4 linked regions of the Notamacropus eugenii genome follow. The protein of the gene in region 4 purifies or fractionates together with the protein of the main gene of each other region. This does not show direct contact. Links are inferred from orthologs where the notes say so. Each region holds a gene or a part of one and is shown on either strand. Other genes may lie near its edges.

The links.
Region 1: the proteins of COPS3 (region 4) and CUL2 purify together in Homo sapiens (affinity purification with mass spectrometry; 5 studies listed by BioGRID and IntAct, counting the BioPlex papers as one, with this or other methods). This does not show direct contact. The link is inferred for Notamacropus eugenii from reciprocal best matches to the Homo sapiens genes COPS3 and CUL2.
Region 2: the proteins of COPS3 (region 4) and DCAF11 purify together in Homo sapiens (affinity purification with mass spectrometry; 3 studies listed by BioGRID and IntAct, counting the BioPlex papers as one, with this or other methods). This does not show direct contact. The link is inferred for Notamacropus eugenii from reciprocal best matches to the Homo sapiens genes COPS3 and DCAF11.
Region 3: the proteins of COPS3 (region 4) and COPS7A purify together in Homo sapiens (affinity purification with mass spectrometry; 14 studies listed by BioGRID and IntAct, counting the BioPlex papers as one, with this or other methods). This does not show direct contact. The link is inferred for Notamacropus eugenii from reciprocal best matches to the Homo sapiens genes COPS3 and COPS7A.

Annotation. Positions count from the first base shown.
Region 1 is NC_092874.1:75,148,334-75,155,413, forward strand, and holds the start of CUL2 (cullin-2), read right to left. Parts: upstream 3,004-7,080; 5' UTR 2,869-3,003; exon of another isoform or gene 2,650-2,868; intron 2,246-2,649; exon of another isoform or gene 2,006-2,245; intron 1,872-2,005; exon of another isoform or gene 1,781-1,871; intron 740-1,780; exon of another isoform or gene 722-739; intron 1-721.
Region 2 is NC_092878.1:9,161,341-9,168,417, reverse strand, and holds the start of DCAF11 (DDB1- and CUL4-associated factor 11), read left to right. Parts: upstream 1-3,873; 5' UTR 3,874-4,043; intron 4,044-4,313; exon of another isoform or gene 4,314-4,448; 5' UTR 4,449-4,561; coding exon 4,562-4,671; intron 4,672-5,176; coding exon 5,177-5,304; intron 5,305-5,532; coding exon 5,533-5,660; intron 5,661-6,053; coding exon 6,054-6,118; intron 6,119-6,482; coding exon 6,483-6,583; intron 6,584-6,827; coding exon 6,828-6,974; intron 6,975-7,077. UniProt on the Homo sapiens protein: May function as a substrate receptor for CUL4-DDB1 E3 ubiquitin-protein ligase complex.
Region 3 is NC_092874.1:194,984,474-194,992,647, reverse strand, and holds the start of COPS7A (COP9 signalosome complex subunit 7a), read right to left. Parts: upstream 3,021-8,174; 5' UTR 2,840-3,020; intron 2,462-2,839; 5' UTR 2,419-2,461; coding exon 2,257-2,418; intron 1-2,256.
Region 4 is NC_092874.1:334,073,499-334,081,467, forward strand, and holds the start of COPS3 (COP9 signalosome complex subunit 3), read right to left. Parts: upstream 3,068-7,969; 5' UTR 2,880-3,067; coding exon 2,819-2,879; intron 1-2,818. UniProt on the Homo sapiens protein: Component of the COP9 signalosome complex (CSN), a complex involved in various cellular and developmental processes.

The sequences.
Region 1 (7,080 bases), about 260 Mb from region 4:
CCTTAACCTTGAAGCAAAAGCATATACAGTTTAAAGTTATTTTGAACATCTGACCTTCCATCTAATCAGTCTAGAGAGTATATTCACTTATTAAAAGGTACATTGGCTAGAAAAAAACAAAAAAGACTGAACACTGTAACAACTGGGTAAAAACATCAATAAATATAACAGCTTTTTAAGTAGTCATGTAGGCATCAAGTAAAAGACATTGATGGATATAAAGATATACAAGAGTCCCACTCACTGATGTGCTGGTGACTGAAAATAAATGGCATATGGATGCCTGGTAGTTAATTTTTAAAGCATCACAAGGTCCAGAGTCATGTATGACTATAGCATTCTTGTGGAAATACAAATAAGAGAATTTTTTAAAAATATCATGTGTGCATTGTAGAAATGTTCTTTCACAAGCTTCTACCAACCATTTGTAAATACATATTCCTCAAAGAACTGTGACTATCTTAAGGATGGAGTCTATTCATTAATATTTTGCCTGAACTTCATTCTTTAGTGGAAATTTATTCCAAGTGGAGTAAAAGGCATAATCTTTCAAAATGTAGACATTATTATAACTTGACATCTAATTCAATACAATTCAGCAAACAATTTATAAAGCACCTACTGTTTGCTGCAAGTACTGTCCTAGGTTATGGTGATACATAGACCTAACAAAAAAAAAAGGCCCTTCTCACAAAGTAGATTCTTTTTAAGAAACACAAACCCCAAGTTCCAATAAATCACGTCGGACGCGTCCTCCGATGCTCAATGCTGTGCTTGGACAAGTTTACTTCTCCCCTTCCTTCACTCTACAGTACGTGCACTCTGGCCTCCTGGCTGCTCCTCAAACAAGACCCCCCATCTCCAGACTCAGTTCTTCTTCCAGAGCTGTCCATCACGCCTGGAATTCTGCTCCTGCTCGTCTTCTCCTGGCCTCCACGTCTCCACTGAAACCTCCCTTTCCCGGTCCTCCTCAATGTGAGGGCAGTGCCCTGGGCTTTCCCTCGGTTTATCCAGGTCCTAGCGGGTCTGCACCCGGCTGTTCGCCAGCTGTGGCCCCCGACTAGATGGTGAACGTCCTGATAGAAGGGGCAGCTTGTGCCTTTCTTGGTATCTCCACCACTTAGGACCGTGCCTGGTACACAGCAGGCTCTTAGTAAATACTCCTAATAAATAAACACTTAACCTGACTCTGGTCGGGCTAGGTCAGAGGCAGACGTGAATCCTAAATTTGAAAGGAGGGGGCAGCACGAATCTAATGCGGCCTCCGGACAATTAAATGTCCAGCGGGCAGGAGCCTAACCTAGCAAAGCCCTTGGGGGGTCCCCCAAATGAGGCGAGTTTGAGGGGGGCGTCTCTGCAGGTGCCAGGGGAGGAGATGGGGGGCAGCCCCAGGGGCCGTGCATTTCCTTGCACCCTGGATCGGGAGGAGGAGCACCTCGTCTTCTTCTTGGGGCGCTCGAGGGAACAAAGTGAAAACGTTTCTTGCCGCGGGGCGCCCTAAAAGCATGACCTCGGGCCCCCCCATCCACACATGTGTAGGTTACACGCATGCACACAGATGCGCGTTATATTTATACCCCACACCCTCTCCCTTCCTCCTCCCCCTCCCTGCCTCCCTCCGGAGGAAATGGGGCCAAGGAAGGGGCGGCCAAGGCCGCCGGTCCAGGGAGGCCTGGGGCCTGGGCCCAGGCGGTTTTCAGGGCCCCCTCCTCGAACCCCGCCGCCGCCCAGGAAGGCTGGCTCGACTGCGCCGGAGGGCCCCGGCCCTCGGCGGGGTTACCTGACTGGAAAGGCCGGGCGAGGGGCGGGGAACAGGGAAGGCCGGGCCGGGCTGGGGCTGTCAGCTCGGCCCCCTCCTCACGGCGCGGCCGTGACTGCGCTGCCCCCGCGGCCCCGGGCCCGCGGGCGGGAGGGTGGGAAGAGCCCCCCCACCCCCGGGGCAGGGGGGAATCCGGCGCCAGGGGTCCGCCAGGGCCGGGGCGACCCCCGCGCGCCCGCCACTCACCAGGCCTCCCGCGCGGGCACAGGGACTAGTTGCGGGTCTCCGCCGTCCGAGGATGCCCCCGGCGCGGAGAGGGGGAGGGGAAGGGGGAAGGGAGAAGGGGAGGACCCGCCGCGGGCTGGGTCGGCTGGCCGCTGTCTCGTCCTCCTCCTCCTCCTCCTCCTCTCTTACCCCCCCACCCCCGTCGTCTCTCCCGACTCCGACCTCCCTCCCGGCTCTCTGGGCGATGGTAGAATCCGAGGTACGGCGAGCGAGGAGGGTGCAACTTAGTGCGATCGCAAAAGGCCGCCGTAAATAAATAAATAAGAGAAACGGACATGTGAGCCGGCTCTATCCGAGCCAGGGAGCCCAGGGAACCGGGAGTCCGCAGCCGGCCTGGGCGACGCGTGTCTGCACCGGAAAGGGGGTGGGGTGGGGGGGTCTCCCGCTGCCATTCTCCCACGCCCCAGCCCCCGGGTCTCTGACACATCCACACGCCCATGACTCAGGGCTTTAGGGTTCCGGAAGTTAGCGACGCCCAGGTAGGACCCCAAGTCAGCTATCGCACACGGGGAGGGGGGGTCTTTCCTAAGGCCTTCCCCCTCCCCCCCCCCCCCCCCACTGAAATTCACAAACTTCCCAGACCCGCAAAGGTCCCTCTCGCTCACCTCCAGAAACACCTGCGGCTTGATTTCCCCATCCTCACTGCCCCAGAACCGGGCAAACAGTTGGAAGACCTCGGGGTGATTTGGTACCCACCTTGGTGGGGGAAGGGATAAGCATCTATTAAGCGCCTCCTCTGCCAGCCACTGGGCTAAGCCCTTTCTAAATATTGTTTTACAATAATAGGAAGACATCGAAGTGTCATTTTCGGAAAACATGCCTACCTTTATTTTTAGAATCGGTTCTGGAATTTTAGATCAGATCTAGAAGGATGGTTTCTTAGAAATCACCTAAGCCAAGCCTCCTTTTTTACAGATGAAAAACTGAGGCCGGGAGCTGGGAAAATGACTTAGCAAAATGGGGACAGTTTTGAAACACAGTTACTCTTGGCTTCAAGTCCAGCCCTCTTTTCATGAAAACTTATCATCATTGTTTCTACCTGCTGAGAGTTGATATGCTTTCTAGCGAACAGCTATTTCAGTTTTTAAAATAATTTAAAAAGGAATCTTCAAAAACTTTATATGCATTTTCATACTTAATATGTATCTCACTTAAACATCGTTACATGCATTTATATATACTAAAATATATACTTAATGCCAACAAGCTCTTTCCCAAATATAAAACTACATATAGATATGTAGCCTGATGCCTACAGCCATAAGATACTAGTTCTTTCCCCTGTCACCAATATAATTGGCATGAATGCTATAATGTAGCTTCTTCATTTAACCCTTAAAATTCAATCTCTCTTGAGCAAAGGAATAAGGGAATCTGGGTTGTCACTTAGCTCTCACAGTCTCCATGTTTTCTCATCTGTAAAATGAAGGGACTGGACTTGGAGGGTCTCTAAGGTCACTTCTGGGTCTAAATCATATATTCCTTTCTTTGTTACTCCTTTGAGAACCCCAAACCATATAAATTCCTGTCCTGGCTTGGTAGAGAAACAAGGAGACTGATCCAATCATGACTTTTATTCTTGACTTTCTACTTCTTTTCCACAGTCGGTCTTCTCCAATATTACCTTGCAGTCCTAATCCATGGGACCAGGTGTATCCCAAATACACTGAATCTGTAGTACACCTCAATTTGTAAAAGCTTGATGCTTAAACACAGTAAAGTTTCCTCATCCAAATTTATCTTATTTAGATAAAGCATTTATTAATGTTTACCCTGTCAGTAACTGTGCTAATCCCTGGGGATACGAATACAAGCAAAAAAAATGGTCTCTTCCTTCAATGATCTTACCCTTTAATGGGGGAAAGCAATCCATGGCTAACACTGGTAGGCACTCCCTCAAATGGAGGGTCCCAAGAGAACCCATAAAAGAGGTCACAGGGATAAATGGGTCTCTAACATGAGAAGATCACTAGGAAGGAAGTGGAAAGGGAGTCAGGAGCATCAGAAGTGAACTAGGTTATAGGGGAGCATTTCTGGCACAAATACTTCTTTAAATCTAATTTTAAATGCTGAATTTGCCCTATAGATCACAGGTTCAAAAACATAGGAGACCTAGCTTTAATATATACATATACATATGTGTGTGTGTGTGTGTGTGTGTGTGTGTGTATTACAAAAACATTTGCATTATATAATTGGAGAACTGGCCAGTAAGGACTCTTTCTTAAATCATGGTTTGGATTTTCCCTTCCTAGTAGGTTATATAGAACATGCATAGATATTTCTTGCCAGGTTCCAGTCTCACATATGAAACTTATGGGAACTAGTTTCCAGACATGGGTGACAAGTCCTGTATGGTGACTTAAGAGTCTTCTCGTTGGCTGAAAAACCAGAGGGATGGATGACTCAAGGGAGTGTGAGTCAGAACTGAGCTTGCAGCAGATCTTTATCTCTCTTCCTTGATGGCTTTTAAGTAAGGAAGATTTCTTCCAGTTAACTGGTAGTGGAGATGACCAAGCAAGAGACAACTGTCTATTACCTCTCCCAGAACAATAAGACTTTTGTTTCTTTCCTGATCTTTGGTGAATGAATCTCCTGAGATGGGAATCCCTCAGTGACCTATGATTGGAGATATCCATGAGAACAATTAGAGGGGTCTCGCTGGCAACCAAAGTCAACAGCAGAACTTGCCAGAGTAGTAGTGACTTCTGGAGATGGGAAGGACTCCACATGTTCTCTGTACTTATTTTGGCAGCTAGATGGCACAGTGGATAGAGCACTGGGCCTGAAATCAGCAAGACCCAAGTTCAAAATCTGACCTATGACACTTATATAAGCTGTGTGACCCTGGGCAATTCACTTAATTTCTGTCTCAATTTCTTTGTCTGTAAAATGAGGATAATTATAGCTCCAACCTCTCAGGATTGTTGTGAGGATCAAAAGAGAGAATACTTGTAAAGCACTTTGCACAGTGCCTGGCACAAAGTAAGTACTACATACGTGTTAGTTATTTTTATTATTAGGGTGCCTCATACCCCTTGAGAGTTTGAGCTCTCTGTCCAAGGAGAACATGCAAGGGGAAAGTATGTCCCAGGTTTGGGAGTTGGGGTGAAAGAATGTTTTGTGACTGTTCTTGCTATACCTTGTTATACCCTTTTTAGAAGCTATTAGAGTTCTTGTGGTTAATTTGTATTGAGATATACAACCTGCTTTGCAGACTGGCTGAAGAAAAGCCTGGGAGCCTTCTGATTGGAGGAGAGCTGAACTTGACTGTAGGTTTAGCTCTTGCTCTCTACTGCCATCTACAGATATGAAGAGGTGAAACTTCTCTGAAGTGCTAGCTGGTTCCTCCTCTTATCTCTAGTGGGCAGAAAAAGAGACTTGACACTAATAGGAAAGTGCAACGTTCACTGGGCTTGTTTGCGTTGCCCAGAGATCCCAAGGGTGGAGCTTTGCAGTTGTCTGACTGAGAAGGAACTGCTTGTCTTTAGACTTTATGGTGCTTGTATGATACTTTCTCAGGGCCTTCTTTAAGGGTGATTGTGAATTGAAGGAGCTCACCATTGTTTCACCAGTTCAAAAGTGAGTAAGGAGAATATTTGCTCAGGGGTAAGGACCAGAAGGAGAAAAATCAGTAAAAGTATCTTTATGTGGGCCAGAATGATCCTTAAAAGACCAAGAACATCAAGATCTGTGGGTCCAGAGTTTCAAGCTTCCCTAATCACATGGTTGTCCTCACTCATGTGTCTCCCTGCTAGGTTTCTGTTATTGTATGGCTACTCTTCCCCATAAATACTGTGAGCAATAGTAGGAGAATATTACCCAAGCTTTTGAGTTAATTTTGATGTATTGATTATTTATGCATTACCATATACTGAGTAACTGCAAGTATTAAGTATTATTTTCTTTGCCTTCTCATTAAGCAAATGTTTTATTTTTAAAATGGTGTCATTGTGATACATTTATTTTATGTAGCTGGGAATGAGTGGTGGAGGCTGATGAACTACAGTAACATGTAGAGAGTATTTATCCCTCATTCCCTGCACAAGAGTTACTCTTAGTACCACGAGAGATACACATTCATCTAAAATCAGCAAAGAATAATAATAATAAAAAAAAGAACAGACACCATGGGTTCAGGGAAGTATCTCTTCATTTGCTTCCTCTTTGCAGGTGTCTGACATGGCATATGTCAGCTCCTATGATAAAGATTCTGTTTCTCCTCATCCTGTCACACTTGTATTCTAAAGATGGTATATTTTTAGATAGCCTATCTTAAACATCTAACTAGCTAGGTTAATTATACATTACATTGTGGGATCCTCTCCTTGTGTCTTAAGCCTAAACCAACCTTTTGTTTAAACTTTACTCCTCTCTTTGACTGGTCTTTGTTCCTTAATAACATACAAACGTAACCAGATAGTACCAGATAGAAGGTGTGTATGTATTGGGTACTTGGTACAAAACTATAATATATGATGTTATATACCATGGATTTGTATGTTAGGTATACATATGTATATATATTTGGCCTACAATATATAGAGGGTATAAACAGGAGAGCTTTGGAAACTTGATGAGGTTTTAGTACCCAAGATTGAATCAAGAAGCCACAGTGTCTGAGGCCACAGGCTTTATATACATAAACACACACACACAAACATATATATAAATATATGTGCAATGCATATATTATATTTATACAGTGAATGTGACAGTATTTTCACATGACTTAGCATTTGGTATTTTTATAAATGAAGGGGAGTAGTGGTAATAAGCAATACGTATATATGTCTATATAGACATATAAGCTTGCCTGGTTCCCTATTATCTCCTGGATAAAAGATAAAATTTTCTGCTTGCTATTTAAAGTCCATTAGAACCTGGACCCTTTCTGCCTTTCCAGTCTTCTTACACCTTACTCTCTTACATAGTGTATGATTCAACTATACTTGCTGTTTCTAGAACAAGATATTTCCTGATTCTGTGCCTTTTCACTGAGTGTCCCTCCTGTCTAAAAGGAATGTTCTTCCTCC
Region 2 (7,077 bases), on a different chromosome or scaffold from region 4:
TTCATTTTACAGTCACTGTATGACAAGTTCAACCTTTTTTTTTTTTTTTGATGATATATTTCAACACTTCCCTGATGATATCCTTTACCCTGCCTCTCCTGTACCGTTTGTCTTTTATAACACACTGCAGCCTTCTCACATTCATTCACTGGCTTCTCTATTGTCCTCTGGGGCACCCTTGACTTCAGGCCTTCAGAGTGTGTATTCCACACCTTACAGCCATCCTACACTATCAAAAGGACCTCCCAATCAAATCAATATGTACTTTGATACTTGGTGAGTTCAGTACAAGAGTGAGCACAGAAATGCTAGAAAATGTTTCGAGAATAAGAAATAAGGAAAGCCAAAGATTTGCTGAATGTACAGATGTCACATATCTATATAAATGAAAACTTCAAGAAGATTTGGGAGGTTAATACAGCAAATGATATAACAAAAAATGAAATATTTTAACAGACAGAGAATCACTCATTACTAATGTGGGAAACTGTCTGTATCCAGTCAGACTACCAACTTGATAGAGCAAAGTTCAAAATTAATACAAAACTAGAAAGAAGACAAACAGGAGAGAGGAGGAAATAGGGCATTCAAGTGAAACAACTTCAACTACCACAGTTGCTTACTCTTTTAAAAATTCTGATCAAGGGTTTCATAAATAGCACGTAATAACTTCAAGGTAAAATTCTCTTCAACACTTGCAGTCCTGTGTCCTGTTCTAGTATGCAGGGATAAGGCAGAGACGATTACAAGGTTTAGAAACATATTATCTGAACAAAGGGAAAGGTATTGCCAGGTATTGCCACACCTTGTAGTCATTCAGGTACATAACAGCACCTGAAGCACAAAGTATCTCTCACAGTTTGTACAGTATGATGTACAATTAAGCCTTGATAAATTATTTTAATGAGGATGGTAAGATTGGTCTAGGACATTTCAAGCCAAAGATAATTGGTAGAAAATGTTCTTCTTCCTCGTGGCCAGGGCTGAGTATGAAATAAACAACATAAGCAGGTGCGCTGGCATTCCTTACTACATGAAAACTCCGCAGGTTGTTCCAAACTACAGGGAAGTGCACTTGCCCAATGATTCAGGGCAGTAGGTAGGCTGACTGCTGGTACAGTCAGGAATCTAAACAGCCCACTGAGTATTCTGGCTTCCCTCATCTGCCCTCTGGTGGAGATGCTAGTGAGCAGGAAAGCTGACCTAAGATAGGCAGTCAACAACACTGAGAACCTATTCAGTATAGGATATGTGGAGGATGGGGAAAGGCACTGGGGAGAAGGCGGGCAGAAATAAAAGAAACAAAAGGTCCTTTCCCTTTCATACAGCTGGGGAGAAACAGTACAGAAGCACATCAAAAAGAACATTCACCAAGCAACAAAAGGCCAACGACTGTAGAGTGGCGCCTCACTGATTCAGAGTGGAGGAGAAATATGATTTAAAAGTCTAAATTATGTTTTCCAAAGATATAATTTTATTATTTTAAGTAATAATCACACCTTATTGTAACTAGCTTATTACAGCTACTTCACAAAAGGACTTTCCCACAAGCATCTTGCTGGCATTTTCCTCCAATGCCATGAAGTAGGTAAGGGAAGCATTTCCCCTATTTTAGGGATAAGTTTAGGTGACTGCATCATTCAGCTAATGAGCAGTGGAGGCTAGAATCTCAATCCCAGGCTGGGTGGGTCTTGACACGTGTCTGCAATGAGACTCAGCAGGTGAAACAAACTAACTAGTTCTCAGGCTACATCGAGAGTCCAGAGGCATAAGGACCATCACACTGCGCTGCAGGGAGGCTGCTACAGGAATACTGTATCCACATCTGGGAATGGCATTTTAGGAAAGACTGAAAACTAGTGTTGCCTAGAGTCAAGGGCGTGTCGGGAGGTAAGTGGGCTGGTAATGCCATCCCAGCCTCAGGACCCAAGTAAGGCTGCTTAGCCTGGGAAAGACACATTTAGGGAGTAGAGGTAGCGCAGAAGTAAAGACAATTGTTTGGTGCCAGGAGCAAAACCAGGAGCGAACTTGGGAAGAGCAGAGATGTAAAGAGAAGGGAATCCCCAAGTCAGGAGCTTCCAACCCAGGCTGCCTAGACGGCCCCTGCTCGGTGGGTCGGAAGTTCCTCCACTCTTTCCACAGTTCCTATTTAGGGACAGCTAGGTGGGGAAGGGCATGCAGTGATGCACCTGCAGTTAGGAGGACCTGAGTTCGAAGACAGCCTCCGGCACCTTCCAGGTGTGGAACCCTGAGCAGGTCACCCAGTCTGTTTGCCTCAGTTTACCCAGCACTACAACGGTGACAGTTGCAGCCCCCACCTCTCCGAGGGGCAAGGACAAACTATTTATAAAGAAAGCTTCGCCAGCGCCTGCCACACAGCGCTGTACCCGATTAGCGTGTGCCTGCTACAGACACCAGGTTCATGCTATACAACCTACGTGGCTAAGCTAGGTCCGAAACGGGCACAAGTAAAACGATCCCAGTTAAAAAGGAGAGGAGGGAGGGGGATAAAAGCTGTCTGTGGAGTGGGTGGATGCCTCTCCTAGCGTCCAGCTCTGGAAGGCAGGAGGCGGCGCCATGGGAGGCAAAGATTCGGAGGCTCGATGGAGAGCGGGGCCAGGCACACTCGAAGGGGCTGGGCTCTCCGTCCCCGGAGGTCTTCGGGCAGGGGCGGCGGGGGCGGCACCGAGAGGCTCCCTTCCACCGCTCCACTTTTAGGGCGCTATCCACCCAGATCACCCGATAGAGGCGGGGCCCGCGCGGTGCACCAGCAGGGGGGGGGGGGGGGGTGCACCAGCAGGGGGGCTTGGAGGCGGGGCCCGCGCGGTGCACCAGCAGGGGGGGGGGGGTGCACCAGCAGGGGGGCTTGGAGGCGGGGCCCGCGCGGTGCACCAGCAGGGGGGGGGGGGTGCACCAGCAGGGGGGCTTGGAGGCGGGGCCCGCGCGGTGCACCGGCTCGGAGGAAGGGCCGCGCTGGCTCAGCACAACAAAGGGACTTTGGCCCTCGGCCTTGGACTCGACCCTAATTAGTTACACATCAACCCGGAGCCAAGGAGGGGGGCCGGGTACCTGGTCGGGGTGGGGAGGGAAGAGGGGCACGACCTTGGACCCTGCACGCACCCCGGCAGAGAAGGTCCACAAACACCCCGGGAGGGGTGCGGGAGGGGTGGGGGAGGGCCTCCCCCCAGAGCAACGCCAAGGTCCAGAGCGTTCCCCAGGGCCCGGGGCGGAGGGGGAGGGGCGGGGCGGACATCTTTAGGGCGGGTCCGTCTGAGCCCCAGCACACAGATTTAGGGGTGCCTGTCCTGGGAGTGTGGTGAGAATGGGCCACGGGGTGGGTAGGGCAGGCCGGCTGCCAGGCTCCGGCCTAGAAGGCAGGCTCGCGGAGCTCCACGCTGCCGGCCCACACCGTTGGGCGGCTACTAAAGGCACAAAAGCCCCTGGGCCCCGCGCGCAGGCCCGGGAGGGCAACGTGCTGGAAAGGGCGGCTCTGAGACCGTCTAAAAAGTGTGGATCCCGGGGAACTGGCAGCTTTAGGGACCGACTTCAAATGATGCCGCTGGTGCTCGGCGAAGGCCAGCCCCCAGGCGCCTGGCTAGCAAATCCGCGACTAGGTATTAGCATATCCCGCCTCTCCCTTTCTCCGCCAATCAGCACCACCCCAGAAGAATCCGCGGCCGCGCCTACCCTCCGCGTTCCCTACCTATCCCAGCCCTCGGAAACAAAAGTCAACAAGGTTTCCCCGTCCCCTCCAGCCTCGCCCCGCCCTTTCACCCGCTGTCCTCCCCTCCTCCCCTCCACAACAAGCTCACTTAGTCCCGCCCACTCGTCAATCACTCGGACCCGCCATCCGGCGAGCGCACTCGGGTGGGCGGGGCCAATTGGCCGATCGCGTGACGCAAGCGGGAGGCGAGCCCGGGAATCGGAGCGCTGCGTGACGAAGCCGCACAAATCTGTTAGAGCCGTTAGGAGAAACGCCGTGGATAAATATAAGCCGGGCCTCACGTGCCGCCCTCTCGCCTAGGTTTTATGTGCTGCCCTTGGTGAGTGAAGAGTCGCGGGCCAGGCATTAACCCCTCTCTTGGGTGGGAGGAACCCTAACCTCCCCCCCCAACCCCGCGTACACACCCCGGACATACCACGTGGCCCTGAGCGGGAGGGGGAGGGCGGTCAGAGGGGAGGGGGAGGGCTGCGAAGCCGGATTCTAACCTCATTGGCTCTCGCCTCCGCCGGCTGTAGCAGGCCCGCTCTCTGATTGGTGGGCAGGCTGCTTTCCTCCAGGAGAGCTCTGATTGGCGGCCTCCCGGGGATCTCCCCCTCCTCCTCCCTTCCCTTCCCCCTGGAGCTCGGCTAGGTGAGCTCGGAGGTGAACCTAAGGAATCTCCCGGCGAGGGCTGCGACTCCTGGCGTTGGAGAGTGATCGCCGCCCTCCCCGCCCCTTTCCGCAGGCTGCAGCTCCGTCGGCCTCCCTGGAGCCCTGGGAGCTGTCACTGGCGGAGGGGAAGGGCCCCCTGCTGTGAAGAGGCCCCGGCGGAGGGCTGGAGGATGCAGTGACCGGGAGATGGACTCGCCGGGCAACAGCAGCGCCTCGGAGGCCTCGCCGTACGGGAGATATGAGCCTCGGTACAGCGAGGAAGATGACGATGTGGATCTGGCCTATTTCCTCCCCAGGTAACTGGCTCTGCGCCGTGCGTGGGCCCCCACGTGGGCCCCCAGCCCCGCCATCCGCGCGGAGCCCTGCCGGCCTCGGGGCCCTTCCCCAAGAGAGGGCGGCGCTGTGCGTGGGGAAGGGGGCACAGTGACATGCCCACTGTGGTAGTGAGGTGCCCGACTTGCCAAGTAAGTAAACAAAGGGGAAGGGAAGGGGGCGGGGCTCCGCGAGGTCGTGTCGGCCGCGACCGTGGACTTGAGCTGGAAGATCCCTCCGCAGTTGTTTGTACAGGCAGAACTCTTCTGGTGGTCAGGCATTCCGCTGCTGACTTTGGCTCTGGAATCTCGGCTGAGGTTGCCAGAAGTCTGCTGAGATACCTCCCGAGAGCGGGCTTCTGCAGCCTGATGATGCCCAAAGCTCGTCCTCTTGGGGCCCCCGCTAACAGAAGGGCACCCGAGATTCCCTCTCTGAGGTGAAGTGGCTTAGTATTGAGGGATCACCCCCTGCCATGAGGTCTCTCCACAGGGGCCAGGTGAGACTGGTACAGGGAGGTGGTGCCACCAGCCTGCAGCTCATCCATACGCTCTCTGACTCAGATGATGACAATGACAGCCCCTGGGAGGGTCGTCTTGGTGACAGATACAACCCACCTGGTAAGAGGAAAGGGTGCTTGGCTTCCAGCATCGTAGGCATCAGTCGGCCCAAAGTCTGGCTCCGCAGGAGGTGGGGAGAGAGATCAGTTAATGAGATGAAGAGTCCTTTGAACCTCATACCTCCTTCCATCCTCCTTTACGCTGGTCACCTTCCTGGCCATTCATCCTCATTGACGTCTGTCTTCTGTGACTGAAAGGCTGAGGCAGGGTTGCTGCTTCTTCTTACAGTGGATTCAAACCCAGACACCCGAGAGCTGGAGTGCAATGAGATCAAGACGCAAGTAGAGCTGGCCACAGGGCAGCTGGGATCCAGTAGGATAGTGCAGGAGCAGAGCTTTCCTCGAATGCTGCACCAGGTAGGCTCCCTTACCTGCACTGAGCTAGGCACTTTGTGGATAAAGAACTGATTTAGAGTCAGAAAGACCTGAGTTGGAACCTTGTCTCAAACATTTGCCAGCTGTTTGACTCTGAGCAAGTCACTTACCCTCTCATCCTCAGTTTCCTCATCTGGAAAATGTGGATAGCACCTGCCTCACAAAGTTTCAAGGCTTGATCAGCTGGTGTATAGAACGCACTTGGCAAATGTTAGAGTTCTGTAAATGTGTTAGCTATTTGGGGGGTACAGAAGGGCAGTCAGAAGTTCTGCCAACTACACCTGGAATGAGGTGAACTCTAGAGAAAAGAGTTTGAAGCTGGCAGCAGAAGTACCTCGTGTATGGTGGCCTTACTCTCTTGTCTCTTCCCTGCAGAGAGAACGTGGCCTCTGCCATCATGGCAGCTTTTCTCCTGGGGAGCGATCCCGTGTAGTGTCTCAGTAAGTTTGGGACCAGGGTACTCTCATTTTGAATTTAGTGGGACCAGATTTGAGGAAGGTCCAGAGGACAAGTAGATGGGACCATACCATAAAATTAGAAGTGGACATATTAATAGGGAAAGTTGGAGTTGTTAAAGTTGGGAAGGAAGGGTAAGAGTTACTGCTATTGGAGGAAATGAGAAAGTTAACCGCTGTTGAGTAAGGAATATAATTTTTTTTATTAAAACTTGGTAGTATGGATAAGGAAAAAAATTCTGAGCAAAGGGAAGAGGGACCTCATGTACTGGTGTATCTGGGGTGCTGTTGACACCAATACCTCCTTACCTTGATGTCCTCTTACTGTTATTTTTCTCCTTTTTCTCAGTTTCTTGCCCAATTACTTGAGCTTCACTGACTCCTATTTCCATAAGGCTTTCTGTGGCGTGTACAGCAAGGATGGTCAGATTTTCATGTCCGCTTGCCAAGGTACCTAGACCCAGTGACCACTCCCTTGAATGGGGAACCACGAACCCAACCCCAGCACAGAGAACAATTTCCCATCAGCCCATAGATTGGGGAAGCCTCTGTTCCAAGATGCCTTCTGGTTGGGAGATGTCAGCAGGATGTAATTCTGAATACCCTGCATCAGAAGGAAGATCTCATAGCTGTAGTAGGTGGCCAAGGGTGAAAAGAGAAAGTTTCCTGAAACCTATCTATTCCCAATTCTCAGACCAGACAATTCGACTGTATGACTGCCGCTATGGCTGCTTCCATAAGTTCAAGAGCATCAAGGCCCGGGATGTAGGTTGGAGTGTTCTAGATGTAGCCTTTACGCCTGATGGGAACCACTTCCTCTATTCCAGCTGGTCTGATTATAGTGAGTATACCCACCAGCCCTTTCATCTTTCCATTTTGGACCCTTTAACCTCCATCTCCCAGGATCTCTCCTCTGAGCTAGGTCCTTAGGCTCCATTACAGGA
Region 3 (8,174 bases), about 140 Mb from region 4:
TGGTCTCTCTCTTTTCAATCTAATCCCTCTTGATGGCAGTATTGGGCATTACTGATCACCATCTCCTCCATATTTTCCCCTCTCTGAATATTCATGGCATGAGTCTCTTTACTGCTTGACTGCTCCTTCTATGACACTTTTGCCAATTCATCATCCATGTCATACTCAATGGGGTACAGGTGGTGTACCCCAAGGATCTGGGCCTCTTTTATCTCTATTTTCTTTCATCAACTCTCATGGGTTCAATTACTATCTCCATGCAGAGGACTCCCAGATCTATACATTCAGCCCAATTCTCTCCCCACTAACTGAATAAGCGGTACCAAATAGATGTCCAACAAACATCTCAAACACAATCAAAAACAGAACTCATTATCTTTCTGTCCAGACTCGCCCCTCTAGTAGAAGTCCCTGTAAGGGTATCTCTTGATTTGCAACCTCATTATTATCCCTGACTCTTCCTATTACCTTACATAGCCAAACTTGCCAAATCCTGTCATTTCTATAGAATATTTCTACAACATCTCTGAAGTCCTTTTCTGTCTTTCCACTCACACAACACCCTAGTTCAGATTGTTCATCTGAACCCTCCTCCATTCCAGTCTTATTATCTCCAGTCATCCTGATGAATATCTGGTCACTGGATTCAGATGGCTCTGAAGGAGAAGTGAGGCTGGTGACTTGCACAGCCCTCCCTCACTCAAAACAAGACAAGTGCAAGACATGTCATCATTTTTCTGATGGCATGGTCTTCTTCAGCAACGAAGGATGAACACACACCTGCCTTATTACGATGGCCTCCTATTTAGTCTCCTTACTTATGTGTCTTCCCATTCCAAACTTTTCTCCATAGACCTGACAGTGATTTCCCCAAATGCAGGTCTGACCATTGTCAACTCCCTAGTTAATAAACTCCAAGGTTTCCATACTCTCTCCACAATCAAATATTAATTCCTTTCTTTGGCATTTAAAGTCTTTCACAATGTGGCCCTGGCCCACTTTTCCATACTTATTATATATTACTTACTGGCTTCTTGCACTCTATAGTCTAGTCAAACTGGTCTCCTGACTGTTCCTCACATGCACACAAAAACAAAACTACACTATACAAATATGAACAGAAAATTAACGCACCATCTGTTAAGTAGAACCATATAAAGAGGAATGGATTTATACTGAAAATGTTCTCCTGGGTTGAAATCAGAGAACATTCACTTTTGCTTGTATTTGCATTGTATATGGTAAATACTTACACAAAGAATTATAACTCTAAATTAAGTTAGTATGCTCACTATTTATTGTATATCTTTCTACAGAAAAATATATTAAAATATATTTTCAAAAAAAAAATTCAATTGTTTGGCTAACTACACTGATCCCATAATAGATTACTAACCAAAATATTATTTACAGGACATACACAGGAAAATAAGTAAGTGCAAACAAGCAGGATACTCTCATTGGACTGACATTAAGCATAAAAACTGCTATGGTACTAAAAAATGTTTTAAATTTCAAAACATTTCATCTTTATCTCATCCTTTTCAAATTCTTATTTTTGTATATGTTTCATAAAGCATATTTGTACAGTAATTCATGCATATAATTTAAAAATACATATATTTTGGGGTGTTTGTTCAAAAAATGTTTAACTGATGGGACTGGGCACAGAATCAAAAAAAATTGGAAGATCTTGTGCCCCTTGGTTGTTTGTTAGCTGTTCGGTGGTGTCAGGCTCTGTGACCCCATTTGCAGTTTTACTGGCAAAGATACTGACTGGAATGGTTCCTTCTCCAGTTCACTTTACAGATGAGGAAACTGAGGCGAACTGGGTGAAGTGACTTGTCCAGGGTCACACAGCTAGTGTCAGCAGCCAGATCTGAACTCAGGAAGCTGAGTCTTCCTGATTGCATGCCTGGCACTCTATTTTGCCACTGCCCCTTACGTGGTACTTTTTCACAGGACCACGCCTTTCCCATTCCTCTTTCGCCAGCTATCTGCCTAGTTACCTACAAGAACTTGTTAATAATAATGGAAGTGATTCTCTTATACGTCTCCAGCTTCTCAACAACAGCCTTCGCTGCTGAGAGGCCTCGTAGCCCTAACCTCGGCGGACCCTGCTGGGTTTGGAGGCAGATATACCGCTCAACAGTGGCAGTCACCGGCTGCCACTCTGCGCTCTGATCTAAAGGGGGAGGCAGGGACGGTGGACGGAGCTTCCTAAGAGGGTCCTCGAGGCTCTTCACAGGTACCCACCTCTCGGACGTTGGGCATGTCCAACAGCTCCCCGAAAACGTAGACGCCTGGGGCCTCCAGCACCTGGTGGATGAGGGTGGCCAAGGCGGCGCCTTTGGCCGACTTGGCCAGAAGCAGGAACTGCTCCTGGTTCTGCCCTGTCACCTTCACCTCGGAGCTCATGGCTGGCCTGGGCGGGGGACCACGGGGCTCGGGAGGCCTGGAGCTGCAAGGAAGCAGGAAGGACCACGTGGGGGGAGGCCCTTACAAATGGAGGCTCGTCAGAGGAAAAGACTCGGACTAGTGTTGCGGGAGACAGGGGCAACCCCCGCCCCCAGCCGCCCTCTCGGGAACGTAGGGTTAAGGGGAAGGACTGGACCCTGCTGCTCTGCCAGCTCCCCCCCTTCGAGGGGAGGGGCGTGCGCGTGCGAGGCACGTGCCCCCTGCTCGCCTCCTGGCCCGCGTGACCCCCGCCCCCTTCTCGCTTTCCGCCGGGCTCCGCCCCCGCCCCTCCAGTCTCCCCCCGGCCCTTAAGGGGGCCGACCCAGGGGCTGCGGACTCTAGCCCAGCAGCCCCAAAGCGGGCTCTGTGGGGCAGCAGCTACCTGTCGCCTTCGCCCTTCGCGTGCACTTAGAGGGATGGCCCCTCCCTCACCTCCGCCAGCTGCTAGAAACCGTTACCACTGCCTCCCTCCGTGGCCACTCTGGCCACAAAACTCTATGACCCGCTCCCGAGGCCCCCACTTCCGCTCCTTTACGTCACAGGCTCCGGAAGTCTCCCGGGGCGGGATGCAGAGGGCTCTCCGGCCCTTTCTACGTTCTGATTGGCCATCATCGGGAGAATGGCAGGCGACTGCTGGGTTTTTTTTCTCCTTGACTTTCAAAAAAACTTTATTGTTTAGAAATGCTGTGTGATAATTGCAGACGCCTCTGGATTCCACAAGTTTGAGCGTCCCGCACTTCCCGTTAGGGAAAGCCTTCCGGGAAGCTGTCCTGGCGGCGTGATGGCGGGCTTACCGCGGTAGATGCTGCGTGGGCAAGAAAGGGACGGGGAAGAAAAGGAGACAGAGCCGGGAGAAGAGGGACCTTCGGGGCTGGAAAGGACCTTAGAAGTCATCTAGTCCGACCCATTATTTTTTCTTAAAAAAAATACATTTTACTGATGCCTTTTGTCTTTGCATCAGTCACTTCCTCCCCCGCCTCTACTAGATTGAGCAGTCCCGTGAAAAAGATAAACAATTAAGCGAAAACATGCACATCTTGCTTTGTCTGACGAGGTCTATGTCCCCCATTTCTCTGCAGTGAGGAAGGAGCTCTTCGGAGTCTGTTATTGGGATTTAAAAAATTGTTTTATTGATTATATTTTTTAATATCGATGTCCTAATGATTCTCCTCTCCCTATAGAACCTTCTCTTGTAACACGGAAGCATAGTTAACTAAAATAAATATTTTATAAACTAATATATTAGCCATGCCTGAAAATGCATTTCTCATTTTGTAGCCTATAGTCCACCATCTCTTTTATGAGACTCTAAAGTCATAATCTGTCAGAGTTATGAACTTTCAGTTTTATTTTCCTTTACATTATCGTAGTCATCACGTCAATTGCTTTGATTCTGCATCAGTTCATCTCAAGCTTGTTTGAATTTTTCCTATTTCTATTTCATTTGACACAATAATATTCCATTACATTCATATAACCAATGATCTGTTCTGACATTTTTCCAGTTAATATCGATTTATTTCCACATCATTACTAGGACAAAAAGTCTTCACGTTCTCTTCATTTTATTTTTTTTAAGGCTTTGTCTTTGTCTTTGTATTACAGCCATTTCCCACCCCTTCTCCTGAATGAATTTTCCTTTGTAACAAAAAAGCCATTAAGCAAAAACATCTGACCATGCGAGACATAGGTACAATAGTCTGTCCTCGAATCATCCCTCTGACAGTCAGAAAGGAGGTATGTTTCATCATCTCTTCTCAGAAATTGTCATTCCATTATTCCTTTTATTAAGACTACTACAGTGTTGTGGTTCTGTATATTTTTCTTTTACTCCTGCTTATTATATATTAGTTCATATAAAATCTTCCCATAGTTCCCCAAATTCTTCATGGTCAGCACTTTTTCACTTCATTCATATTCTATTACATGTAACAGCTCATTCTTTTAACAGCCTCCAACTGAGGAGCACCTACTTTGTTTTGTTTGTTTCTATCACAAAGAGTACTTGGTATTTTGTTATATTTTGGACCTTTATTCCTTGTCTTTTACATTATGTACCCAGCAGTGAGACTGCTGGGGCAAAAAGTATTAATTTAGTTACTTTTCTTATATGATTCCAACTAGAAATCCAGAATGGTGGTACTTCTTAGCTCTATGACTAGAATATCAGTATGCCTAACCATCATCCATAGCCTCTCCAATATTAACTCTTCTCATCTTTTTTCATCTCTGCCAATCTGCATGGTGTGAGTTTTTCTTATTTGCATTTCTCTTTCTATTAGTGATTCATGTTTTGATTTGATAAATGTGTAGTTTGCAGTTCTCCTCTTGAAAATTGTTTATTCATATCCTTTGGTCAATTATGTACTTGGGAATGGCTCTTGATGCTATAAATTTGTGTCATTTCCCTGTCCAACCCCCTTATTCAACAGGAACATAGACCTTAAGTGGCTGAGTAACTTGCCAATGGTCACACCAATAGTAAGTAGGATAGTCAAGATTTGAGCCCAGCTCCATTGTTCCACATTTTGTTACTCATTAATTGTGTGCCCATGGGGAGGTTATTTGACCTATGTCTCAGTTTCCTCATCTGCAAAATGACAAAGTTGAATTAGATCCTAAATTCCTTTCTGACTCCTAAGAGGGTATGATTCTATTTATGAACTGGGAGAGAGGAAGGGAAGTAAGGACAAAGGGTGATAAAAAAAAAAAAAGATAGGACAGCAGGTAGTAGAGATGAGAGAGGGATAGATGAGAGGAAAGCAGAAAAGGCAAATGAGAAAGGTGATAAAAAGTGAGGATAAAGAAAGAGGATAGAAATAGAGAAGACAAATAGAGAAACAGCAGAAGATAACAATTGAGTCTTTCACTTTGTACAGTTCCCCAAACAAGTAATTCATTTATTCATTCACCCAACAAAAATTAACTCAACGTCTGCACGGGGCATTCTGCTAATAAGGCTGAGGGGGAGCTTGGAAAACATAACTAATCAGAGAAAGAAAATGTCTAACAGAGACCTGAAGAAGAAAAGTACTGAGAACTAAAACAGACCTATTCAACCAGTCATCTACTGAAAGTTATGTTAAATTGTTATGCCAAATGCTGGCATATTGCTCAGTTTTATGTAAAGAAACATCACAGCACAAATGCGAGGATTATAAAAAATACCAGGAACAAAAGGGATTTAAGAAATGACTCTAAAGAAATGTAGCAAAATCAGCAGATGGAACTCAGCTAATGACCCAATGTCCTACACGCTTCCCTCCCCCCCCAACACATGGACATATATAAATACACAAATTTTACAGATTGGGAATACCCATTGCACATACACATATCCCAGGCAGAAACCCAGCATACACATATATCCAAAGTACATACTGAACATACACACATGAAAAGGGGACTTACATCTAGCATGGCACAACCAGGGTACATACCAACAGCAGACAGAACACACACTAAGTGTTCCAGTGTGCACAACTGACTCTTCTTCACTGAGCTGTGTGGAACAAATTGACAGAAACACAACAGCGTTTGATAACTTCTGGGAGCCTATCCTCAACAATAATCTCTCTTCTAATTCTGGGTAATAACCAAATGGTAGGCAAAGGTAAAAGATGGGAAAGAAGCTTGGCATATAACGTTAGATCCTGAATACGAAAATATTGATGAAAAAATTAAGAGAAAGAAATTGGGGGAAAAGAGATAGGGGACAGAGAGTTTTACAATCAGAGATGAAAATCATTCAATTAAGAAGCATTTATTAAGTGTTCACTATTTGCCAGGCATTATGCTAGATGTTTGGTTTCGAAGAGAAAAATAAAACAGTTCTTGATCTCAAATAGTTTATATTCTTTGTGGGTGTGGGAGTGTGTAGGAAAGAGTAGATGGAGAGGCAAATAGAAAATGAAAGACTAACCCAAGGATGGAAGAAGAAAAAGGAAAGAAAGGAGAGTGGAGGGTGATCTGAGTCACAGGAAAGTTTCCTAGAAGCCAAGTCCCTGCCTCATATATATCAGTAATTCCTGAGGGCTATACATTCACAACCCAGGAAGTTGTTAATAGGATTGGGATTTTTACACTGTTTTTCTAGGCCTTGTCCCAAGGAGAAGAAAGAAGGTGGTCTGGTAGGGGATATGAATTGAGATCACATGGAATTAAGTGATGCAGAACTGGGGTGCCAGAGTTCAGGTGACCCTGATGTGGGGGACATGAAGTGAGATGGAATTGGGGTGACAAAGTGGGAACATAGGAAGTTGGAACGATACTCAAATGAGGTGATACGCTTCTTATGGTGAAGAGTAGGTAGATATACTGAAAGTCATATAGGCACGACCTGGAATCTCAGGATGACCAACAGCCTTCCTCTACTCCACATCCCAGACCATCCGGGGATCCCCGGATCCCCAGCGGCATGGGAACAGGAGGGTTAAATAGTGCGTGGCAGGCGGAGACGGAAGGTCTGAGCTGACGCCTAGCCAAGACAAGACAAGACGAGCTGAGCAGAGCTGAACTGAGCCTCTGCCGCCGCCCCACACCCGGGGCGCCTCCTCCCGCGCCCCGCCCGCTAGTCCCCTGACCATGCGCCTGGCCTGGCGCCCCCCGCAGCCCCCTAACCCCTCACAGCCTCTAGCCCCCCTAGTCATCCCGAAACATCAGCCACGGAGCAGGTGAGTGCGACACCCTGCAACCTCCATCCCTCATCCCAGGTGCCCAGGCTCTGTCCTTCCTGGCTCCTGCGTCCTTTCCTAGCCTGCTTCTTTTCCAGCCCCCAATTTTCCATCTGTCTTGTCCCTATTTCTCATGCCTCCATCCCTCCTTCCCCATTTCTCTTTCCATCACCACCATCACCATTTCTATCCATCTAGATCCGCATCTTTCATTCATCCATCTAGATCCGCATCTTTCATTCCGTATCTCTATCTCCATCCTTTATTTTCCGGCTCCAGCTCTCTGGTCCCAGCTGTCGCCATCCCTTTTCCCCTCTCCTTGCCTGCATTCTCCGTCTCCCCATTCCTCCTCCCTTTTCCCATCCCTTCTCCTTCGCTCTCTTCCCTCTTGTTTTCCTTCTTTTCCTTTCATTGGCCTCTTCCTCCTCGGTGACTCTCCCCTTCACCCCCCTTACTGTCCATCTCTGGGAAATGCTCTGTCTAGTTTGTAGTGAGAGAATGGTTTGGGGATGGGGGCAGGCTCCTGCCCCACCCCCAAGCTTATCTCTTGCGCACAGACCTGTTGTGCTGAGCTTGGACAGGTGGGTGGGGGATGTGTAAGACGCTGAATCCGGGGGACTGCGGGGTTCCTGAAGGGGTTGAGAGGATACAAGGTGCTGGAGTTAAGATTGGGAGGACAGATAAGGCAACAGGAAGGTTTCAGTCAGCCCCTCAGCCCTGCTCCGCTTCATTGATTAGCAATCACGTTCTTCTCCTCCTTAGGAAAATTTGGAGGGGCAATTTCTGACTCCCGTATATTTTCTGTCTTGTGTCAGTTATTCTATTCCGCCTGCCCTTCCTCTTTCTCCTCTTCTCTACCTTGATCCATCTCCAGGACTTTTCTATCCTTTTTTCCTTTCCTCTATCATCTGCTACCATGTATCTTCTGTTTCCTTCCCTCTTTTCTTCCTCCCTATCCTCTATCATTGTCTTTCTCTCTCTTCTCTATACTCTCTCAATTCCTTTTTGCTTTTTTCTTTCCGCTATTTTTTATCCCTACCTATT
Region 4 (7,969 bases):
AAGCACAGTAAAGACTCCTATGTTCCAGGCACTGCTATAGGTCTAGGGGATACAAATAAAAGGAGGTAACAATCCCTATTTTAAAGAAGCTTTTAATCTAGCAGGAAGACAAAAAAGACACACATATATGTGTAATAGTTCATAAACCTTAGTGACAATTCAGTTAGACCATCACCACTTATTTTGGAACGAACTTACTAATATGAAGTGAATTAACCTCTCTAAGCCTCAGTTCACTCATCTGCAAAATGAAGGTTGGAAGAGGTAATAAATATGATTCCTTCCAACTCCAAATCCTTTGATCCTTTGAAGTACTGATAAATGAAGAGACTTGCTCAACATTAGAATACATATCAGCAGCTGAATTGACATAACAATTTATGGATATACAAAGCTTTACATTATTTCATTTGACTTCAAACAATGCTATGAGGTAGTTACTGCAATTATTATGCCCATTTTACATCTGAGAAAACTGAGGTCCAGAGAGATTAAATGACTTAAGGCCACATAGGTTAAGAAACATGAAAATGGAACTTAAATCTAAGTGTTCTGATTCCAAGTCTAGTGTTTTTACTATTGAATCATGATCCCTTTATCCTCACTCCACTATCTAGTGTTCAATCCTGCATGCCTTACTTAAGACATGAAATTAAGTAAGGATATGAAGAAATGAGGCACAAAGTGCCTCTCACAGAATTGCCATCTAAGAGACTTTGAGATATCTTGTCCAATTCCTAAGCAAATCATGGATCTAATCTACAACATCCTTGACATGTGGTCACTTCCAGTGACAGGGAACTCACTGCACTCAAAGGCAGTCTAGTCTAGGTTTGGGGCAGTTCTAATTAACAGGAAGTTATTCTTTAGATTTCACTGAAATATGCCTTCCTGTATCTCCTTCAGCCCAGAGGTCCTCATTCTAGCCTCTTTAAGACAAGCAGAAAAAGTCTAAGCATTCCACATGCCAATTCTTCAGTACCTCAAAGAAGCTGCCACATCCCCTGTACTGTCTCTTCTTTAACCTCACTATCACCAGTTCCTTTAATCGGTCATCTAATGATAACTCCCGTTACTTTCGGGACACATTCTAGCTAGTCTAAATTATGGCACACAGAACTTGGCACAATAATGTCATGATGATCTCAACAGGGCATAGTGTAGTGGTATATTATAGTAGTATATTATGTCCCACACTATTGACATTACCTTCCTTTTAGTGATGCCTAAGATCACATCAGCTCTAACACAGAGCTCAGAGTTCATTAAAAGTCCTAGATCTTCACATTGCTTTCTCATTCTGTACTTGTCTAGTTGATTTTTCGAACCTAGGTCCAAGACCCTATATTTATTTCTTCATTTCATCCTATTCATTTGGCCACCAAATCAGGCTATCAAGATCTTTTTAGTTTCAGCTTCTGTCATCCTAGGTATTAGCTAGCATCAACAACAAATTTGATCTAAGTTACTTCAAGTAATGGATTAGAAAACTGAATAGAATTGGACCAAAGCCACAACTCTGGGGTGTCACTAGTGACCTCTCTCCAACACATTAATCAATACTCTAGGCCCATTTAAACTGTTCTGTCATTTAGTTCATTTAATCTATAAGGATACGGTCAGAGACCTTGTCAAATTAATTCTACTCATCTAAACCCCGTTAAGAGAGGAAATGAGATCAGTCTGGTATGACTTGTTCTTATAATAACAGCTCACACTTGGCTCTCCAACGCTTGCAAAGAGCTTTACACACAATATCTCATTTAAGCCTCCCTTTTAGGGAGGGCTACAAATACAAGCGTCTCTATTTTATCTCTATTACTTTAATCACTGCTTTAAGGATGAAAAAAATTAAGGATCAGGGATTTGAACTTAAGTCTTCCTGACTCCAAACCTACTACTTTCACCAAACCACATCTCCCTAAAGAATCCAGGCTGGCTCTTAACAACCACCTCTTCCCTAAGTGCTTTGAAAAAAGGCCTCCTTTTAATAATTTTGTTCAAGAACTCTACCAGGCATTCTCTTCCTTCCACCCTTAAAAACTGAACTCCGTGCGAAAGGGCTTGCTTAGCAGGAGAGCAAGGCAAACAGGGCGGCAGACATTCCATCTCCCGTGGCCATGCTTTTGCACAGGCTGTGCCCAGTGCCCAAACTCCCTCTCTACCCGCCTGCACCTCCTGTAAACCTTAGCTCAAGCGTCTGTAAGGGCGTTGGGGCACGCACCCTTCCGTACTCGCAGGGAAAGGCAGAGGTCCAGGTAACTCAAAGGATACCGAGAGCCTTCTTCCCCACAAGCTCCCGAAGCGGAGCGGGCAAGACGGACAGACGCTCGGCCAATCACGGCCAGGGAAGGGGCGCCCCGGCCGCCAATCGCCGAGCAGGAGAAAGCGATGGCGGAAGTCACCGCCCAGCAAACTGTCAAGCAAAGCGCCTCTCGCTCCGAGGGGGACCCGGCCCGGGCGCCAAGAGGGGACGGGATCCGGGCTCGGGAGCGGGAGCAGAGGAGGGAGAGGGCTCTCTCCTCCCCGCCTCCACGAAGCGCTGCTGGGGGCGGAGCTGGGGCCCGGGGGGAGGGGAAGCCTTCCCGGGCAGACCCGCCTGCGGAGCCGCCGCTGGGCCCCTGCCGGAGCCGCAGCCCGGCGCGGGAGCCAGGCGGGAGGCGGGAGGGCTGGGCCTAGGGGAATGAATGAGGCTGCAGCGGGACGGCGCCTCCCCCCTCCGGGGCCCCCCTGCCGGCCGAGGAGAAGGAGCCACGGCCCAGGGGAAGGAGTACGGGCCGGGCCGGACCGGGCCGGGTCCGGCGGCCTGGGGCCTGACCTTGAGCCGAGAGCTGCCGGACGCTGTTCACGAACTGCTCCAGGGCGGACGCCATGTTCATCCCGGGGAGGAAGGGAGCGGGGAGACGGGGGGAAAGGGCAGAAGGAGGCCCAGGCGGCAGCGGCTCCTCCGGCGGGAAAAGCTTGGAGCTCTGTGGACTAGCAGCGATTGACCGAGGTGGGGGGGAGCCCCTCAGGAACTCCCGCCTGCCGTCACTTCCGCCGAGCTAGGTATCGCGAGATTACAACCGCGCGGAGCCTGGTTACCGTTGCCATGGAAACAGTTGTCCGCCTCCTCGGGAAGCGGGTGGTGGGAGGGAGAGGAGTGTGGAGAATTGGAGATCCGGGCACCTGCCGTAGCATCGCCAGGGGATGCCCCTAGAGGTGGAGCCGGAGAGGACCTTGGGGGCCCTCTCGTCCAGCCCTCGCCCGCCTCTTCATTTTACGGAAGGGGAAACTGAGGTTCCGAGCCACGAAGATCGAACCCAGGTGCTGGGCTGGCTCTTCCCGCAGCGTATACCTGGGGATACACCTGAGATACCTGGTTTACGTGGAAACGGCCTGTTCGAAATCGAAGACCTCGAGAATTCTGTTGTTGTTGTTTTTATATGTACAATTATGTATTATATATGTGTATGTATGTATGTATGTAGGCGGCGCAGTGGTTAAAGCGCTGGATCCGACCCCAGACGCGTCCTTAGTTTGTATGATCACGGACAGGTCACCCACCCTCTCAAAGGCGAAGTGAGCCCTTACCTCCCACGGTGAGATATCCGTAAAACACTTGGCAAACGTCCAAACGCCGTGTAAATGCTACCGTTCTCCAGGACACCACCAGCTCCTAGTCACCCAGGCGTCCTCTTGGCCTCCGTACTCCCATGCCCCACATCTAATCTGTGGCCAAGTCTTTTCACTTCTACTTTTAGAACCTTTTGGAACCACAACTTCCTACTCTGTCAGACGCAGATCATGACAGCATCCACCTCCCAGGGTGGTTGTGAGGGTCAAATGAGAAAACTGTCAAGGGCGTAGCACAGTGCCATAGAAATGTCATCATCGTCACCATCATCACTTCTAACTGTCCAAACTCCCATTTCTCTTGTGACACTAGGGCAAACCTGGCATAAGCCTTCATTACCTTGTCCCTGTAATACTGCAGTAGCCTCTGGTTGCCCTCCGCCCACTCCAGCTTCAGCTGTCAAACCGATGTTCCTAAACTGCAGATGTGACCATGTCACCAGCACCCTCCCGCTCCTCATTCACTAAACTACAGCAGTCCCTGTTCTCTGCAGGACCAAATATACAAATCCTTTCTTTGGCTTTTAAAACCCTTCATAACCTGACCCAGTCCCACTTTTAGAGTCTTCTTTAAAATAAATTTTAATTTTTTGTATTATCAAGCTTTTTTTTTGGTCTCCCACTTCTCACCTACTGAAAAAGGGAAGAAGGAAAGAAAGGAACAAGAAAGAAATGAAGAAATCAAGAAAGAAAAAACAACTCACGTCATATAAGCATAGTCCAGCAAAACAAATTCCCAAATTGACAGTGTCCAAAAATGAATTTGTTTTTCTGCATATATGTCCATCATCTCTCTGCTTTGTTAAATCCTTTACCCCTCCACATATTCTGTGATACAGGGAAATTGGCCTCTGTGTTGTTCCTCCCACAGGACATTGTTCTTTCCATTTTCACTGTCTTTCTCCAAGACCTAGAATTCTCTCCCTAGTTTCCACTTCGTGACTTCCCTGTTTTCCTCCAAGTCCCAGCTAAAATCCTATCTTGTACAAGAATTCTTTCCTACCCCTCCCCCAAATAAAGCTAGTACCCTTTGCCCAATGATTATCTCTTAATTCATCCAGTCTTTGGCTGTTTGTAATTGTTTGCAGGTTGTCTGTCTAGAAGGTGAGCTCCTTGAGAGCTGGGGCCATGTTTGTGTAAATACTAGTTGTTGGATGGATGGATGGATGATTTCTCAATCTGACTCCAGGCTGATTACACATTACTAATAATTAATCCTTTCCATTTCTGATTGAGCTTCACTGGTATACTTGGTGTTCTTCAAACAATATATCCTTTCTCTTTCTGACCCTTTACACCGACGGTTTTTCTCCATGCCTGGAACACTTTGCCTCCTCATCTCCTCCTCTTGGTTTCTCTGACTCCCTTTAAGCCTCTGCTCAAAGTCTGCTTCCTGCAAAAGACCTTTCCCAACCCCTAAATCATTCAATCCTTCTCTTTCAGATTACTTCCCTTCTACTTTGTATATATCTTGTATTTACCCAGTTATGTATATGTTGTCCCTGACATTATAATTTATGCTGACTGGGTTTTTTTGTTTGTTTTTTGCCTTTCCTGACACAGCTTTTAATAAATGCTTGTCAGTTGACAGACTGACATTACTGACCTTTACATATGACATTCTAGTCAAACTAGCCTACTTACTGTGCCCTCTACACAACAGTCCATCCCCTGAAGCCATGCTTTTGCATAGGCTGTGCCCAGTACTAGAACTCGTTCTCTACCCACCTCTACATTTTGTAATCCCTAGCTCTCCAAAGTTCAGTTTAAATATGAGCCCCTTAGAGTCCTTTTCTGATTTCCCCAACAGTTAGTGTCAGTGGTTTTGTATTTATATACTGTCTTTATTATATTTGTATTTATATTTGTATTTTTGTATCCTGCTTGTATTTGTTTATCTGTAAACATATGTAACCCTATGCAGAATATAATCTCCTTAAAGGCCAATGAGTGAGTAGTAGCTCCTCTCCCCTCCCCCCACTTCCTCTCTCCTCTCCTCTCCTCTCCTGTCCTCTCCCTCTTCTCCTCTGTTCTCCTCTGGTATTCTGCCCAGGGGAAGATAAACTCCGTGGCCAAAACCTGCCTTTTTTTCTCTGGGTTTACCAGCTACATTTCTTGCTCAAAGATCAAGCCTTAAACCCAATTCACTCTGGAGTCATAGACTGGACAACAAGTCCCCACCCTCCTAGCACAAGAGTGGATGTAATAACTAAATAGTAATTGTTTCTCTTTTACCAGGAACCCTGAGAGTCTTCCCCTTCCAGTTTGATTTTTTTTTTTTATTAAAAGGGCCATCCTTAGAGTAACTTAAAGAAGGCTATTCATTGAATGGGTGTATCTCACTCAAAGTAAGATTGTGATAAGACCTAAGCCTGAAAGGTCCAGGGTCTCACATTGCATCCTGGACCATCTCCAGTCATCCTGATGAATATCAGGCTACTGGACCCAGATGGCTCTGGAGGAGAAAGTGAGGTTGGTGACCTTGCACAGCCCTTCCTCACTCAAATCAAAGTCAACTGCAAGTCATGTCATCATCCTGATGTCATGGTCCTCTTCCAGAACGAAGGACAAACACAATGTTTTTGTATCTCTGTACCTGGTATGCAGTGGATGCTTAATAAATGTTTGCTGATTGAGGGTAGGCATGAACAAAGTAAATTGAAGTACATTACAAAGAAAGCACATACAAAAACGGGAGCAGTTCAAAGAAGTCAACAAAAATATATATGACTGAAAAAATAGGCTGGTCACATTGTCAAAAATGAGGGATAACTGATGGATAGCCCACATACTGCTCTTCTCCAGATGTTAGGAGAGTTCAAGGAAGACCCCCAGCATATTGGGTGGTCCCCTTGTGTTGAATTTATAAGAAGAATTAGATAAAATTTGTATTAGCTGGGCAGACATGAATGAGTTGCCATATGTTGCTGAAGGGCAACCTACATCAATGAAATCATTAGAATATTTAAACTATAGGCTTAACTGACACAGAAATGAATATTAATCCTTTTTCCATTTGACTACCCCTCCCCCATGGTGGTGCTTCACAAGGGTTTCCTGAACTCAGTGGGAAGGTTAGGATAGTTAAAATTTAAATAATTCTCCCAATGCAATGATTCTGTGAAAATAATACTGGGTAGGTTGAAGAGACTGGTGTAAAGAGAAAGTAAGGAAAAATTATAATAAAAATGACTGATGGTGTGAGCCTTAGTGGTTTGAAGAATGAGGATGGCATTATAGAAATAACTAGTCAGGGGGAAGAGCTTTTGGATAATTGGGCAGAAAAGCTTCAAGACTGAAACCTCCTCTAGGGAAAAACAGAGTGGCCAGGAGGGATTCCAGAACCACTAAGACAAGGAGTGTGGAACATGTGACCTCAAGACTACAAATCTTCAAGTTTGGAGGGCCACAAGTTCTCTGCCCCTACACTAGGTCATTTACCTTTCTTATACCTCAAGTACCTTGTCTGAAAAATAAGGGTATTGGGCTAGATCACAAGTGTCAAACACAAAACACAGATCAAAATGTAGTTTGGTAATGTTTGGAAAAATAAATAAAATGCAATAAAACAAAGATGATATTAACCTGTTTTTCCTAAGTCAATATGCAGCCTGCATGGATCTTTATATATGTTTCAGTGAGTCTGACACCACTGGACAAAGCCATCTTTAAAGTCTCTTCCAATTCTAAATATACAATGCTAATCACAGGTTATTATTTCAAAACTGAACAGCATCTGTTTTGGATCAACTGTGTCCTTGCTCAATAGTTTTGCAGAAAAGTTTGAGATCCTTACTTGACCCTTCACCCTTCCCAATGTACATATGAAAAGATACATGCAAAACCACATCAGGTGCCATATAAGTACCAGAAGAGTACTAAGAAATAGAAACATGTATAGGAGTAGTGAGAATGGAATTAATTCCATATCTGTAAATGGAAAATATAGTCTATATATTTCCGACAAGCTGCTCAGGTTGGCTTTCATCCAAGACTATTATGCTTCCCCCAGGATAAACTAAACAGAAATCTCATCATGGAGATTGCCCTTGTTTTGATCTCTGCCTTCACTTGCCTCTCCCCTCTGACTGCAAGATGGAAAAACTCCCACAGCCTCCCTTTACCAAGGGCTCAGAATTTCCCAACCAACTTTCAATTTCTCGCCAGCAGCTCCCCTTGGTTTTCATTCCACAGACTTGTTGCCTTGAAGCCCAGATACCCTTTGGCAACTAACTCCCCTTCCTTTTCATCTTCCTTTTGTGTATTATCTTCTCCTATTAACTTGTAAGGTCCTTGAGGGCAGAGAATGTCTTTTTCTTATTTGTATTCTAGCTGAGGGGCAGCTAGGTGGTGC